3 linked regions of the Caenorhabditis elegans genome follow. The protein of the gene in region 2 purifies or fractionates together with the protein of the main gene of each other region. This does not show direct contact. Each region holds a gene or a part of one and is shown on either strand. Other genes may lie near its edges. The genes, in order: F55F8.3, Y53C12B.1 and F13H8.2.

Region 1 (5,557 bases), on a different chromosome or scaffold from region 2:
TCGGATTCGACCCGTGCGATTTCTGGATCAGTCGACACAAATCTCAAAATTTGGAACTTGGATGCATCTGATGAAGCAACAACATATGAGAAAGAAGAAGAAGAAGAAAGTGCGAAGAAACGCCGAAAGAAAGAAACCAAAACTAAAGTTCCGATGGTTACGATTGGAGGGCATCGTGACAAAGTATCCGCAGTCGAATGGTGTCCATGGAATTCTGGACACGCATTTTCGTGCTCGTGGGATCATACTATTGTTGAATGGGATTTGGAATTAGGTTAGTTCTAATGATAAATATCCTATTTATATACAAAAAATAATTTCATTCAAGCTGGTGAAATTTCGCGGATCAAAGGACCCAAATCATTCACAAGCATTGATCTTCATCCGAAGAGTGATCTTCTCATCTCCAGTTGTACTGATGCTATTCCAAGACTTTATGATCCAAAAAATAGAGGTTTGTTTGTTAATATTTATTTAGTCTCTTGTATTTATAAAACATTTCAGATGGAAGTATGGTTAAACAATCATTCATTGGACATCAAAATGGATGGGTTGAAGCTGTCAAATGGAATCCGTTGGATACAAATCAATTTGTTAGTGTTTCCACCGACAAAACTGCGAAAATGTGGGATGTAAGGTAGGTCTTGTTTCAAAAATTAAAGAACCATTCAGTTTTTACTTTAATATTCGGTTTGTTTCAGATCCTCAAAGTCTTCATTGTTCGACATTCATGGACACGATGATCGTATTTTGTGTGCCACGTGGAATGAAGGACTAATTGCAACTGGATCCGCAGACTGCACAATCAAAATCTTTGAGACTGCTTGATTTGTTTTGTTTTTTGTTATTCTACAAATTCTTATATTGTTTTTTTTTCTATATACCGCGTTTTCTATTTGTTGATTTTGATTTTTTGTTGAACTTTTTATGAAGTTATCCACTTGAATTTATTTTCCATTACCTTCTGACAGTTTTGAACTGTGTTAAATATTTCAATTATTTTTCTTTCTTCAATTTTTCATTCAAGTATTTTCAGAATTTTTCAGTGAGAATCAAAACAAAAGCGTTGCAAAATGGGGAAGGGTTTTCAAAACTTCATGTCCAAAAAGGACTTCCATCCATCCGCTTTTCGGAATCTCAAAATGGTCTGGGAAGCACGACAGAAGAAGTCTTTGGAGGACAAACGACAAGAAGAACTTCGAGTTGCTTATGAGAAAGAGCAAGAAATTTTGAATAACAAGTATGTTGCATTCAATATCTTCTCACTAGATTATAAATATTTTTCAGAGCTCTTCTTGGAGACGAAAAGGCCAAAATGGGATTATCGTTCATGTATGATGCTCCAGCTGGAATGACAAAGAGAGAAGAACCGAAAGAAGAGCCGAAATTCGAATGGCAACGGAAATATCAAGCACCACGTGAAGATTGGGCTAAAGGAAATGAAGAGATCCAAGATCAACCATTCGGAATTCAAGTTAGAAATGTTCGATGCTGTAAATGCCACAAATGGGGTCATATAAATACGGATCGAGAATGTCCATTGTTCGGAAAATCTGGAAATTTTGAAGATGAAGGATGTAAGTTTCCGAAAAAAAATCGAATTAAATGTGTAAAATCAATTTTCAGATGCAAATAATCCATCAGACCTAATCAAAGATCTTCGTCGGAGACGACAGGAAGGCAAAGCAGGACCTTCAACATCGAAATCGTCTGCTGCTGCGGCGACAGGAGAAGATGACGATGAGGATGAGTGGATGGATCATCAGCAACTTGCGAGTGATATGCGTGAAGAACATGGAATCAAACTCAAAAGTTCTGTTTTGGCTGGAATGCAGACAGATCAACAGCTAACAAGAATGAAAAAAGAAATGACCGAAGAAGAAATGATGCTGGAGTTTTTCAATTCGATGACTGAAAAGGAAAAAAAGAAATTGCATAAGAAGCTGATGAGCGGTGCAGATTTGGAAGATGTAATGAAGAAGAAGAGTAAAAAAGAGAAGAAGAAGGAAAAGAAAGAGAAACGGAAGAATAAAGACAAGAAGAAAGATAAGAAGAAAAATAAGAAGAGCAAATCTCGTGAAACTGATGACGATTCTGATGGCAGCGATAGTGAGGATGATTGGAAAGGTATTTAAAGATGAGGTTTTTACATAATTAATTTGATCCTAAACACTTGTTCATTGATATCAAATATTAACGAAACGCTTAGAGTAGTTATTAGTTTCTCGATTTTTCAACCAGTTCATGTTTCAGAAAAATCATCGAAAAGGATCAAAAGAGAAGTGGAAAGTTCTCCGGAATACAGATCGAAGTATATCAAGCAGGAAGTTTTATCAGAAGACGAGAATTCCCATGGAAGAAAGGATTCGAGCCGAAAAAGAGCGCATAATGATTCAGAATCGTCAAACGAAGTAAGATCGTCAGAGAGGAAGAGATCTCGAAGAGATGATTCTCCGAACGCCAAAAGAAGTATCGGGTTGAAATCGCCGGAGAGGAGAAGCTCACGAGATCGGAAATCTTCACCCAAACAACGTCAGGATTCACCAGTGAGAAGACGGCGAAGTCCATCGTCGATTCGGAAGGAAAGTCAGCGTGTTCGTAAACATTCACCAGAACAAAAAAGAAATGGCCGTCATGATTCACGATCAGTGTCCCCTGTTAGAAGACGTCGTTCTCCGTCTCCTGACAATCGTCAGCTGGGTTCGAGAAAACAATACTCGCCACTGCGACGTCGCCAATCATCTCCGATGGTTGCATCACCAAGAAGACGTAGATCTCCATCACCAGAACGACAGCGCAAGAGACGTTCACCATCCGATTCCCCGCCAACAAGGCGTCTTTCTACGTCACCGATCCGACGTCGTAGAAGTCCATCGCCCAACAAGTTGCCTGTGAGAAGGCGTCGTCATGATTCCGGATCGCCTGATCGTGATGGATCTGAATCACCGAAAATGTGGAGAAAGAAGTCGCATAAATGAACGCTATTCAAATCAATTTTTAAAATTATTAAATGTGGTTTTCTTTTAAATTTTTTCCGTCATGTCTAATAAAGTATTTTCACACATTTTTGCTGTTTATAAATTTCTTGTATTTGGTGTTTTATAAATAATATTCTTAAGAATATTCTTCAATGGAAATGTTTTTATCTCTCATTGCGATACTTCTAAAATCCGCAATTGCGTCAACGCACGAGAATTGCGCCAATGAAGATTCTTAGCGCGGAATTCGTGCTTTGTATTTTATATAAATAAAATATATTTTAGTTTTCATTATTTCTTCCATTTTCAGCTTGTTTCATTGAAGTCTTGCCATTCACTATGGACACTAATTTCAAGGTAATTATTTGAAGCGTTAATTATTCAATTAATATTCCACCAAACCCATTTTAGTTGTCCAATTGCATTGGTACAGTGTATCGAGACGGTCAAGTGGCGTTCAGCAAAGATGGATACTCAGTGATTTCACCTATTGGCAACAAGCTATCAATTTTTGATCTCAGAAAGTAAAAAATAATTTTATATTCACATTTGATATATAATTTTTCAGCAATACTTCAAAAACATTGGATATTGACTGCAATTACAACATTAAAAGACTCTCTATTAGTCCATCGGGTTATCATCTTCTTGCTTCTGACGAGCGTGGGTTATAATGAAACCTATTCGAAGTCAATATTAATATTCTTCAGGTGGAGTTGTTCACTTTGTCCATTTGCTGTCCGAATTCAAAATATATACTTTTCGCAGCAACAAACCGATCGGATCACTTCAGTGGTCACCAGACGCAACGTAAGAAAAAAGCAAATAATTGCAGTTTCTAAACTCATATTTTCATTTCCAGCCGAGTTGCTATTTGCCGTGAAAACGACCTTCAGATCCATGAATTTGGCAAAAGCATCGAAAATAAAGTTTATAACCCGTTCAGTCTGTCAAGAACCTACAAATTGAGCAGTGATAGTCTCAAAACAATTGACTGGTCAGATGATGCAAAGTTAGTTTTTTTTTTGAAAATGAAACGTTTTTTTCCCAATACCCACTAAATAATTTCCAGTCTCCTCGTTTCTGGTGGTGAGGACAGAGTTGTTCGAGTTGTTGGTGCAAAAGATTTCAAAAATTTGTTCATTCACCCACTGGCTTCACACAAAGGATATATTGTAAATTGTCAATTCATGAAGAACTCTTACGATGTTAGTTTGATATATGATGTTTCCTTTATCAGTGGCTACTTTTCCAGATGATTACAGTATGTAAACGTGGACTTGCAAACGTTTGGACATGTAATCTGCGTCCAGGAGAGTTGGTTGAAGGAATCTGGAAGAAAGATGAAGAAGGATCAGATGATATTGAAATGTTGGAAGATGGAGAACAGAAAGTCGAGAAAATTTTCTTTGAAAAAACAAAAAAATATTGGTTATCTGAATCGTCGGGCTCAGGAAAGTCTGTGGATGTGACTGCAGCTAGATTTCACAAAGAAACTAATATTTTGGCAACTGCGTTCAATAATGGAGTTATTGTTCTTCATGAAATTCCTTCGTTTGCTTTGGTTCACAATTTAAGAGTTTCTGAAATGAGAATTCAAACGGTTGCTTGGAATCTTACAGGTTATTGATTTTTACAAAAATGTAGATTTCTTTAAGTGAAATTTATGTTAAAGATCAGAGTCCTACCAAAAAACTGTAAACCTTTATAAAACTTTTAGGCGACTGGTTGGCAATTGGTTGCGGAAAAGGTTCAACAGCTCAGTTGGTCGTATGGGAATGGCAATCCGAATCATATGTAATGAAGCAGCAAGCTCATTCTCTTCGTATCACTACTGCAGAATATTCCCCCGATGGCTCACTTATGGCTACTGGAGCTGAAGATGGAAAAGTGAAGATTTGGAATTCTCGTTCCTCGTTCTGTACGGTCACATTTGATGAACACACTTCTGGTGTAACAGCTGTGAAATGGACACAATCTGGAAGAGCTATCCTAAGTGCATCACTCGATGGAACTGTTCGTGCACATGATCTCAAAAGATATCGAAATTTCCGTACTCTCGTGTGTCCTGAACCAACTCAATTGGCTACGTTAGCAGTTGATAAAGCAGGAGATTTGGTTATTGCTGGAGCTAAGGAAGTTTTCAATGTAAGTTTGAAATATTTTCCAAACAAATTTTATTTTCTTATTTTCAGATTTACATTTGGTCTTTCGAAACAGGTCACCTGTTGGATATTCTCTCAGGACATGAATCTGCAATCTCGTCAATCGATATTCACGGAAATCATATTGTCAGTGGTTCATGGGATAGGACGATCAAAATGTGGACAATTGTCGATTCACAAGCAGAAACTGTCGAAGTATCACATGAAGCACTCGATGTCAAATTTTCTCCGGCTGGAGATGAGATTGCTGTTCTTACATCGGATGGAGTCATCACTTTCTTTGAAGCAAAGGAAATGATTAATTTGGGAAGTATTGATACTAAATTGGATACTGATCCGGCTCGTGGATCACGTGACACAATTACAAGACAATCGGCGGCCAAAACAAAAACATTCACGAGAATTCGATTCTCT
Region 2 (5,557 bases):
AATTCAAAACTCATTTAATAGAATTTAACTAATCACCTTAAAAGCACAAAACGGTTTGGCTAGAGTCAGTGCAAACACGAGAGCTTCCGAATATCTCTTCTGACTCAATAAATTTGTCAAAGTCTGATCTTGTTCAATAGCCTCTCTTCTCTTATTATCCTCGGCTTTTTGTTTCTCCTCTGTAACATCCTTCCAGACAACAATCCGCCCATCAGTTCCAGCAGTCACAAACTCTGACTCGTTATGATTTTTCGAAAGCGACCAAATTTTGTCAGTATGCGCATCAATGGAACATTCACAATCAGCAGTTTTGATTGTCCAAATCTTGATGATTCCAGCACTGTCTGCAGAGATCAACTGAGAATCGTTGCGAGCGAATATCACTCGGAATACAGCACAAGAATGTCCGGAAATGGTTTGAAGACAAGATTTTTCCGAGATGTTCCAGATTTTAATGGTCATATCTCCACTGCAAGATGCAAGTTTGTGAGAATTCTTTGCAAATTTAACATCTCCAACTCCACGACGATGTCCTGATAGAGTTCCAGCGATTCCCAATTGCATTTTGTGAGTATCCACTTGCCATAATTTTACTAGTTTATCCATTCCTCCAGTGGCAATAAGAGCATCCGATTCGGAAATATCAACACAATTCACATCTTTTCCATGTGCAACCATTGTTGAACTGCATGTCAGTTTTGGGCTGGAAAGTGAATTATTTTCGCAATAAAAATGTTTTCAAACTTACAGCTGTTCGACAAAATCTTTTTCTGCATCAATTTTGACTTCTTTTAGTTTTGTAGAAACTCCCAATCCCCACAATTTGATAGTACAATCCGTTGATACTGATGCCAGGAAAGGAGCTCGTCCGGTATTGGAAATCGCTAGAGCAGTTACTGTATTTGCATGTCCTGTAGCTGCCGCAACTGGGACCAGAGTGGAGCAAGAGTCATTTTCAGGAGATGTTACAAGTCTCCAAAAGATAATCGAATTATCTTTAGAACATGATGCCAGTAGAGATGTGTCCCAGGTAGGAGATACTACGGAAAGAACTGATTCTGTGTGACCACGAATTAATTGACAATCCAGGGTTTTAGTGTTGTAGAGTCGGATTTCAGAAGTATTGGAAGCGACAGCCATGTGAGATTCATCTTTTCCAAGAAGACAGCACGAATAGATCTGAAGATAGGGAATAATAATTAAGAAGGTTCTTAAATCCAATTATTACTATTCGTAGAAATATTACTTGGCAATTTGAGAGCATATTAAAAGTGGTAATATTCAAAGAAAAAATTATTAAAAAAATGATAAAATCAAATATTTTCGTTTTTCGGTGTTTTTTTACGAATTTTGTATAAAAGATTTACATTCGAAAAATTATACATTAAAGCAACTTGATATGACAAAAATGATATCAACAAATGGTTTTCAATTCCAATTTGCAATCATTGTTTTTCTTTCAAGGTCAACTATAAAACTCACTTCGTCATGGAATCCAACAATTTGTCTTGCAATTTTCAGATTTTCAAAATCCAAAATTATAAGATTTTGTTCGGCGGAAATTGCCAAAAAGCGATTAGAAACAACATCGTAGGCCAAGTGATCGAGATTCGAGCTGGCAATCCTTTTCTTTCTGACCAACTTCGCAGTTTCAATCACAAATTCCTTAACAACACCCTCTTCTCCAACAGTGAAAAGATTTCCGTTATGTCCGATTGCTCCGCCTTCAATTGATTCGTAGAGTGGAAGAACTCGGAGTGTTTCTTGAGTTTCTGTTTCATGAATACTCATCGTCTGATCTCGCGAAAGAGCCACAACAACTCGTGAATCCGGAACTTGAAGCAGTGCGGTAATATGAGAATTATGACTTTTCCATGTGTTTACAAGTTTTTTCGGAGCACCTCTCATTATATTATAGAGGTTCAATTGTCCTTCAATGTATCCAACGACAAGCTTTTCATGTTTTCCGAACAGAATTGCTGAAACTACCGAGGGTCCTTTTAATGTGTGTGTACATTGTTGCTCTGTCAGATTCCAGACTTTCACGATGTGATCGGCACTTCCAGTCGCCAGTAAATGGCCCTCCTCATTGAATTCCATAACGAGAATAGGAGCAGTGTGTATGGTTTTCCATGTTCTGGCCAACTCTGGTTTAGTTGTCGACGGATCCAAAGGAATTGAGTATTCACGAATTATTTGATTGTTATAGGCGACCAAAAGGCGATTTCTGTTCTTGTCGACAGCTGTGCACGTAATGCGTAGCTCATCTTCAGGGTCGCCGATGGTATAGCTGCAAAAGATTTGATGCATTTCAAATTTAATTTATTTTATTAAACTTCAAAATTATTCATATTCAATTTTTCAAATAATCATAATCAATCTACTTCTAGTTTTGTGGGTGAAACTTGTTTTAAAGTTCTGTCGCAACATCACATACCTTGCAGTATTGTCAGCCAGATCAATCACTTTCACAACATTTGTGCATGTAGAAAAAAGTTTCTGACCATTTGCACTCCATCTGACAGTTCCTCCGGTGTAAACTGCTTCGACACTTCTTTTCGCGGCAATTTCCTTGATAGGTTCAGTCATTTCACCTTAAAATGTTTTAGTAACGCAGTTATTTGAGGGATCAAGAGTTAAAAATAAGAATAACATAATTTAAACTGTAAAGGTTGATGAAAAGAATAGAAAATAGGTGAAATTTACTTAAAATCTATCAAATGATCTAAAAAAACGACTCCGTAAATCGACACTAATGCCGAAACAAGTGTCACCGTACTTATTCGCTGCGAGACCCACTTCCCGTTTAATTCTACGCGCCTTTAAGTGCCCACCCATTTCGGCATTTTATCGATGAATTTATTAGCGTTCGCCGACGCTTTTTATAGATTTCTAACCTTTTTGTTCTCTTATTACCTTGCCGCCTTCAAATAAGAGTTATCTTAAACTAGTAACATTATCATTTTGCAATATAAACTCTGGAAAAATATGCAATTATTACATTTCTACACACAAAGTGTTCCGAGTATGTTTTTTTCTGTTATTTCCACTCAACTGAGAACTAAAAACTAGTTTTACCAAAATCACATGTTCCTTTTTCAATTTCTCATTTTCTTTGATACTCTTTGCCAATTGAGCTCCTTATTTTTGAAAACATAGATTCCGATAAAATTTTGCTGATTCTCTTTTTCTAAACATATTGCATATTTTAAAACACTTCGATAGTCAACATTTACAGTCAACGTTCACTTGGTAATGTCTGGACAGCAGTTCCAGCAACATTCACAGCAGCAACAACAACGTGCCCCAACCGTCTATAATAATAACAACAAGAAAAACGGCGGCAGCGCTGCAAACTCAAACCAAAACAACAACAACCCCCATCATACCTCAACGACTGATTCGGTGCCGAACTCGACTGCCAACGTGTCGTCAGCAATTTCGTTTGAGTATTCAGAGCCGCCAGGAAACACCACTAGGACAACACCAGATTCTGGGCTAGGGACTGACGACCAAAAGGGCACACCTCAACAGACACGTGCTCCGCCAGGATTTGTAAGTAGGAAACTATTGAAAATCCTATCGAAAAAAGATAAGTCAGAAAAAGAACACTTTTGAGGTGCGCAAGGTTTTAAGAGAATTGAGAGATTTTTCAAATCAGTGAAATATCAAACATGTAATTTATCTCATTCATTTTCAGCATCGAGCAGCTTATCATCGGAACAGCGGTCAACAGCAATTCTCTCAAATGCGCCCACAGCCGCCACATACTGGACCACCAAATGGTATGACATATTACGGAGGAACCGTCGGCGCGCCCGGCTATCAGCAACAACAACCACCACCACAAGAAGGATATGATCAACAGCAGCAGTTTGGAGGTGGATCCGATGGTGGACAATACCAAAGAGGACCACCAGGAGGCTATCGGGTATGGAGAATTACGGGCTCCTCAATTATTTCTAGCTCATAATAATTTTTTAATGAGCGTTATGATTTGGAAATTATATCTACAGGAAAATAATGAGAAGAGTTGATAGACATTTTGCAAATTCTTTATTTTCAGCAGTATCAACAAATGGAAAGCGGTGGTCCGCCAAGTGGATACGCGGATGACAACAACGGTGGAAACAATAATTTTGTCATTCATGGCCCCAACGATAATTTCGATGGTCGGCCACAATATAGTTGGTGCAAACTTACTGTGTTCTGTTCAAAAGCATAATTTTAGATCCTCAAGCAGGGCCACCACCACAAAATCAGCAGCAAATGATGAACAGTGGCAACTATGAAATTGATCAGTACCGTGGACAAGGACCTCCTCCAGGAAATACCTATCAACAGCAGGGACATAGTGGACAAGCTCAATATTATGCTGGACCAGTAATCCAGCAACGGCCACCACCGCCACACAATGCTCAATCTTATGGACAGTATAGGGGTCCACAAGGCCCGCAAGGCCAAATTATTCAAATGATGCCTCACAATCCACAGAATCAACAGCAGCAGCAACAACATCCAATGCTGTATCCAATGGTGTATGTTCCTGTGCCAGCACCACGAGTGTTCCGGCAAGAGCCAGCTGGTGGAGCTAGCAGTTTGGAAAAAGACGGAGGAAATGCTCGCAAAAGTAAACGAAACAGTCAAAATGAGGACGATGGTCAGCAACATCAACATCAGAATGAACAACAACCTCAACAAGGCTACCATCAACAGGATTTTGTATCGAACCCACTCTGGAATCAGATGCCTGTCGGTTACGCTCCACCAGGAAACTTCACGCAGCCTCAGCAACAACATCAACAAATGGATCAACAACAAGCCGTCCAAATGCAACATCAGATGCAGGTACAACTTTAAAAAAATTAGGGGAAGATTTTATATTATATTTTGACAATTTCACAGAGTTACACTTTTTTTAAAAAGAACAAACAACAATTCCTCAGATGTTTCAGCAAATGCAACCATACGGAATGCCACAAGGAGGCCCACCACCACCTCATGCTGCTGCTTCTATGATGAATCATCCCCATCAGCAAAATCATCCTCATATGAATGCACAAATGACCCAACAACAGCATCCAGGACAATATCTACCGCAACAATATATGCAAATGGTTCCGCCGCCTCACCATCAAATGCAACAAATGCAACAGCAAGGTAGACGTCCAGGAGGTGTTGAGCCGCTCATGGGAGGCCCGCCGTATCAAATGAGTGGACAAATTAATCAAATGGGAGGACCAATACGTGGAGGTTTTGGAATGCAACAGCAACAGCCGATGGGCTACTTCAATTCTGGAAGAGGTGGAAATGCTGGATCAGGAAGAGGAAGAGGTGGTTCACGAGGTCACGGATACCAACATTCTCGTCAAAATTCTAATCAAAGCTACAATTCTTCTCAAAGTTATCCACAAAATCGAGGAAATTTTGATTCATCAAGTCAATATCAATCCGACAGTCAACAAGTGGATGAATCAGTTACACAGCTTACCAATAGAATTGAACATCTTCAACCAGTTAGCTCACGTGCAGGATCACCAAGTAAACAGATCCTTCA
Region 3 (5,557 bases), 3.5 Mb from region 2:
ACGGATTGACTTGTCATGAGAAGCAGAGAACTGAAAATCAATATTTTGAATTAACAGGTATTTTTCACTTTATAATACTCACCATAACAGATCCATTAGTAAACTGAGCCAAACAACGAATATCCAAAGTGTGTCGATCAAGAACTTGAACCATAATAAATTTCACTGCATCCCATTGTTTAATTTTTCCATCTTTTCCGGCGCTCCAGAAGAGTTGTTCTTCTCCAGGACAGAATAAAACCGAAGTTACTGCATCATCGTGTGCATGGAATGATTTATGACAATCACCGAAATCCAATCCCCATACTTTGACTGATTTATCGACGGATCCAGTGACACAAAGTTTACTGGAAGGTGCAATATCGACACATGTGACAGGCAGTGAATGTCCGTATAGAGAAACAAAGAATTTAAGCGTATTAACAAAATACACTGAACATGTGTTATTCAGAAGAGCCACAACAAGAAATTTTCCATCCGCAGAGAAACTTGCAGCCAATGCTTCATCGGGAAGTTCGAGAACTTTTTGTTCTTTGATGGAAATTCTCTTTCTTGATCCTTCTGTCACCAGCACAAATGACCAAAATCGAACCGTCTTATCTGCAGAAGCCGTGATAAATCCTTCATTGTCAGGTGAATTTTGAATAGTCCAAATCGCTCCAGTGTGTGCTTTTCTTGTTTCAACCAGCTCGGCACTACTTAACTCGAACACGCCGATTTCTCCGTTCTGCAATGACAAAGTTAACTTCAAAAAATATTATACAACACAATACCTTTCCACCAGTTAAAATGTAGTTATCACCAGGAACAAAATTAACTGCGACAATGTCTTTGATATCGTTGTCAGTCAATGTTAATGACGACCGCAATGAGTGTGTACTCCATACAATTACTTCATTTCCACCTCCAGAAGCAAGAAGACTTGAAGAAGAAGATACACATAAAGCACGTACATCTTCTCTGTGACCGAGTTTGTCTAGATTACCAACACTATCACATTCAACACTATTTGACGTAGTTTCAATACTCATTTTGACCCAATGAACTGTGTTGTCTGTGAGAAGTGCATACCACTTATAAATTAAAGTGTTTTCGTTTGTTTTGACTGATCTCACAACATCAATCCACTTGATTTTATGAGGTAAAACCATCTCTCCAATGCGAGTAACAAGAATTGTCACATCTTTTGCCACATCATCCTCGTTAACTGTTGTTGTGTCAGATCTGAGAAAATGTAGTTGATGAAACAGTTATTTATTGACAACTTACGTCGCTTTTCGTTTAGCACTTTTTAACTTTTTGGTAAGCCTTTTTGCAGATTCGGTTTCGGAGAAGACTCTATAGACGTCGGCCACTTTATCAGCACCAACACATACTAAGAATCGATCATCATGAGTTGCGACCAATTGCAGAGCTCTTCCTTTGCTCTGACGGATCACTCTTCCGCGCAGCTTTGTCGTGATATATCTCTGAACATTGATTATAATAACTTATTTTTTTAGAAAACTATTACATTGGCCATATTAGCAAGAACATCATCTTCCTTTTCATCATCGTTTGTTGCTTTCTTTGCAGAAGGTTCTTCACTTTTTACTTCTTGTTCAAAGATAGCGCCATTTTTCCAATTGAGTTCGAAAACAAGCAATTCTAATTCAGCAGTTGCAGCTACAAGTACTGTTTCATCACGATGCAAGCTCATTGAATAAATTTCGTTTCGGCTGTCCATCACTGTATAAAAGCATGACTGCGAGGCAATACTCCAAAACTTGATCAAACTGTCTTTCGATCTGAGAGAAACAAGCACATTACTTCAATAAAATTAAGTTGAAACATACGTGGAAATTATGAATCTATCACCGCGGACAAATTTCATTTGTGTGACTGATTCCTTGTGGCCGTGTAAACGAAACATTCCACGTTCGGCAAGAATGTCCCACAGAACAATGACTCCATCTTTTCCACCCGTCGCAAACAGAAGGCCATCACTGCTAAACTCGATGCAGTTCACAGCTTTCTTGTGACCAGAGAACATAATTGGTTCAGAATCTGAATGCAATTGTTGTGATTTTGATTGAATAATCAAATTAAAACCTTCATTTTCTTGATTGAACAACTTCACTGAACCATCGGCATATCCAATTGCAAGAAGCGGTTTGTTCTCGCATTGCCGAACACACGAAATTGGCTTTGTAGATTCAATAATTTCGTTAACCTGAAAATATTTACAAATTAATGTGATTTGTATTTTAATAAACCTTTTCTGCAGTTCTCATGTTGTAGAAATTTAAATATTCATTTGCCGATACAGCAACGGTTTGTCCATCAATCGCAACAAGTTGGCCGTTGGCAGATCCAACGCACCCACAGGAGCCGGCATGTTCATATTTCAAATAATCCTTGGTCAATCCCATCTGAAAACAAACAATTATAATTTTTGGGCAATTCCAATAGGTTTATAAAAACATAATTGACAATGTTTTTGGTGATGAAAAAAGAGCCAACAACTCGAAAATTGGGTTGTGTGCAAATAGCAAAGCAGAACTCGGAAATAATTATAGACCATTGAACAATTTCGAATGAAAAAAAGATGTGCAAAATTTAACATGTATTTATTATCTAGAGACGCAAACGCAATACGGAAAAAACATAATTATAAAACTCGAGAAATAATTATCAAAAAAGATTGAGATGTCAATTGACGCGCATTGTCCGCAAACACGACTACGAGGAAATGCACAGATTGTGAAAAAGGAGGGAAGTTTAAATTTGAGGATCTACAAAAATCGAGACCCGAAGAACTCGGGGGATGTCCAACTGGGGGGATTCCCAACTCGGGGGATTGGCCACGCCCACAGAACCGTGCCTTACAATACGCCCATTTCTGCAACCTCCGCACGGTTTTGAATGATGATTTTTCTTCATTGTTTTTTGGGGGAGAAAAATCAATTTCGACTCTAAAAAGTTCAATTTGAATTGTTTTTTTCGGTTTTTGAGTCGTTTTCGCGGAATAAAAGTAAAATATTTCAAAAAAATCGATATTTCGCAGTGAAACAACAATTTACACGGAAAGGGGACGCGTAAAAATCGATTATTTGCAAGGAAAGAACAATTTACACGAGAGGAGACGAAGTGAAGAACGTAGAACGAGTTCTATTTAAAAAATTCGAATAAGATAACCTGAAAAATTGTCATGAAATGTTTTTCAGAGCCGACGGAAATTGTTCAATGAAATTATTGTACAAATTGGTTTGCAAGCTATTCATTGAACATTAAGAGCGAGATTTTATTGATCATGATAATTATTTACAGATAAGGATAATATTACATTTAATGAATTGCATAATTTCAACAAAAAAAACAATAATTTGTCATGAAAACGGAAGAATTTGGAGGATGAGCAGCTCGGGCGGATCTGAAAAATTTAAATTAGAACTTTCATAAAGACATCGCTGATATATAAATGAAAAAAGATTTTATCTGGTCTATTATCAGATTCGCTTAGTTTTTAGAGGCTTTTGGCTTAAATTCAAAAAGAACATTCAAAATAACATGGTTATTGCGAAGAAGAACTGATCGCCCGCCACTATGCAGAAATTCCGACTTCAAAAGAGCAGTGACAGCAAATTATAGCTGTTTCAACGATTTCAATGCCTCTATAAGTCCATATATGTTCGATCCGAAGATATTTCATTAATTTTTTGTTAAACTATTTCAATTTTTGTTCTTAAATCAATTTTTTTCCTACTTTCTACAATTTGAGAATATAATACTAACGTGGGTGGACTGGAGAAGCACATCCTTGTTTCATCCGTGCAATTTTGATGGTCCCTCGATTCGACGAAGTCTAGAAATTAAAAAAATCAATAAAATATGAGAGGGAAAGAGATTAACAAAAGGAATACACGAATTAAGGAGGGCGAATTAACAAGTCACGGTTGAAAAATACTTCTTTTTGCGAAAATGGCTGAAAAAACGAAGAAAAACAATTCAAATTGAACTTTTTAGAGTCGAAATTGAATTTTCTCCCCCAAAAAACAATGAAGAAAATCATCGTTCAAAACCGTGCGGAGGTTGCAGAAATGGGCGTATTGTAAGGCACGGTTCTGTGGGCGTGGCCAATCCCCCGAGTTGGGAATCCCCCCAGTTGGACATCCCCCGAGTTCTTCGGGTCTCCAAAAATCGCCTGACGGTTACCTGCGCCTGAAAAGAACCAGAAATTCTCTCCAGGATTTTATCATTGCCGAACTTTTATGTTTTTTTTAATTGAAAACAACTTTTCACAAATTGTTGTATAGTGTTTTTGTTCTTGTATACCCGTAAATCGACACAAGATACAGTAACCCGTTTTCCATACGGTCATTTTCTGAAAAAAAAAACAGTAGTTCGCTACCGAGGAGTTATTAGAAACTTTAAATCAGGTAAACAAAGGTTTAGCTAATTAGATACTATAACATTTGACAGTTTTTGATTCCTCCGCCTTTTGAGGAAATATGTATTTGAAAAATGTATATGAATGAATAAAAATCCAATATTTCACTCTTTCTAATGTTAAGGAAAACTTATTTAGTAATAAAAATAAAAAGTTTGAACAAAATTATTTATTTAAATACATGTAACTATCAGAATGAATATTTGTATAGCGTGTTGGACGGGTCATTCAGATAAGATCATCAAGAATCTTCATATTTTGAAGAAAAATCAGTTTTTAAAATATTAGCAACAAAATTCAAAAGGTAGGTTTCGATTTCTGTTCAGCAGAACGCGCACAGTTGATTCGAGTTTGATCTGTCACAGGTGGGAAGCGGGGCTCTCTGGTAACCGGCCACTGCCAAGAGTTCGGCAACTTTTCGGTAACCGAAGATCAAGTTGCCCAAGTGTTGTGGTTTTTGCCGTAGAGTCTTGGCGGAAACAAGCTACGCTTGTTGGCTCGACTTGTGGGTTGGATTATGAACTGGCTTGTAATTTGAAAAACCAAGAAATCTGCAGAACATGGAAAAGCAACTAGACTGTTTGTCAATTTATAATAAAGAGTTGTGTTGCAAAAAAGTCCGTATCATGAATAACATGCTTCTGACCCGTGACAGGCCAAACGCGAATCACATACATATGCCTCCTGGTTCCACTTTAAAAAATGATAAATTTCAGTTGACAAATAAAACATGGATCAGAATATCAACGATCAAAATAGGAAGCGATCGGCCAACCTGTAGGTTTTTAATAACAGGATCACATCTAAATATAAATTTTCAGTTCGTTGGAAGACAATAGAGAACCAAAGGATAAATCGAAGAGAGAGTTGCCTCCAATTCTCCGTCCGAAGTTTGAAAAACGTCGTAGACGTCGCCGCTTACGGAAACGAACATCGAGAGATTCAGCATCTAGAGATGATATGGAATCTATAGAGACTCTTCTAACAGCAATACCACCAGATGAAGGTTCAGAGAATCGAGATGAGGAGAAGCCACAGTCATGTGAGACTGCAGAAGAAGTACCAGCTGAACAATCGAATCATCCGAAAGAAAGAGAAATTGAAGAACCAGCGTGTCGCATATCAGAC

Evidence for each region.
Region 1: the proteins of Y53C12B.1 (region 2) and F55F8.3 fractionate together in Caenorhabditis elegans (co-fractionation; one large-scale study listed by BioGRID). This does not show direct contact.
Region 3: the proteins of Y53C12B.1 (region 2) and F13H8.2 fractionate together in Caenorhabditis elegans (co-fractionation; one large-scale study listed by BioGRID). This does not show direct contact.

Annotation. Positions count from the first base shown.
Region 1 is NC_003279.8:5,651,337-5,656,893, reverse strand, and holds the start of F55F8.3 (Periodic tryptophan protein 2 homolog), read left to right. Parts: upstream 1-3,245; 5' UTR 3,246-3,317; coding exon 3,318-3,335; intron 3,336-3,389; coding exon 3,390-3,502; intron 3,503-3,546; coding exon 3,547-3,641; intron 3,642-3,688; coding exon 3,689-3,788; intron 3,789-3,840; coding exon 3,841-3,990; intron 3,991-4,050; coding exon 4,051-4,186; intron 4,187-4,233; coding exon 4,234-4,600; intron 4,601-4,698; coding exon 4,699-5,126; intron 5,127-5,173; coding exon 5,174-5,557. Other genes in the region: wdr-12 (Ribosome biogenesis protein WDR12 homolog), read left to right, coding at 1-274, 329-454, 505-637, 702-828; cir-1 (CBF1-interacting co-repressor CIR N-terminal domain-containing protein), read left to right, coding at 1,074-1,240, 1,288-1,577, 1,627-2,127, 2,254-2,978.
Region 2 is NC_003280.10:9,743,479-9,749,035, forward strand, and holds the start of Y53C12B.1 (U3 small nucleolar RNA-associated protein 13 C-terminal domain-containing protein), read right to left. Parts: upstream 2,601-5,557; 5' UTR 2,590-2,600; coding exon 2,438-2,589; intron 2,291-2,437; coding exon 1,483-2,290; intron 1,180-1,482; coding exon 749-1,179; intron 704-748; coding exon 37-703; intron 1-36. Other genes in the region: nos-3 (Nanos-type domain-containing protein), read left to right, coding at 2,989-3,025, 3,239-3,555, 3,701-3,931, 4,067-4,187, 4,232-4,848, 4,947-5,557.
Region 3 is NC_003280.10:6,267,226-6,272,782, reverse strand, and holds the start of F13H8.2 (Small-subunit processome Utp12 domain-containing protein), read right to left. Parts: upstream 2,420-5,557; 5' UTR 2,412-2,419; coding exon 2,256-2,411; intron 2,213-2,255; coding exon 2,092-2,212; intron 2,047-2,091; coding exon 1,836-2,046; intron 1,788-1,835; coding exon 1,514-1,787; intron 1,470-1,513; coding exon 1,270-1,469; intron 1,225-1,269; coding exon 774-1,224; intron 728-773; coding exon 83-727; intron 31-82; coding exon 1-30. Other genes in the region: F13H8.8 (SET domain-containing protein), read left to right, coding at 5,160-5,206, 5,251-5,557.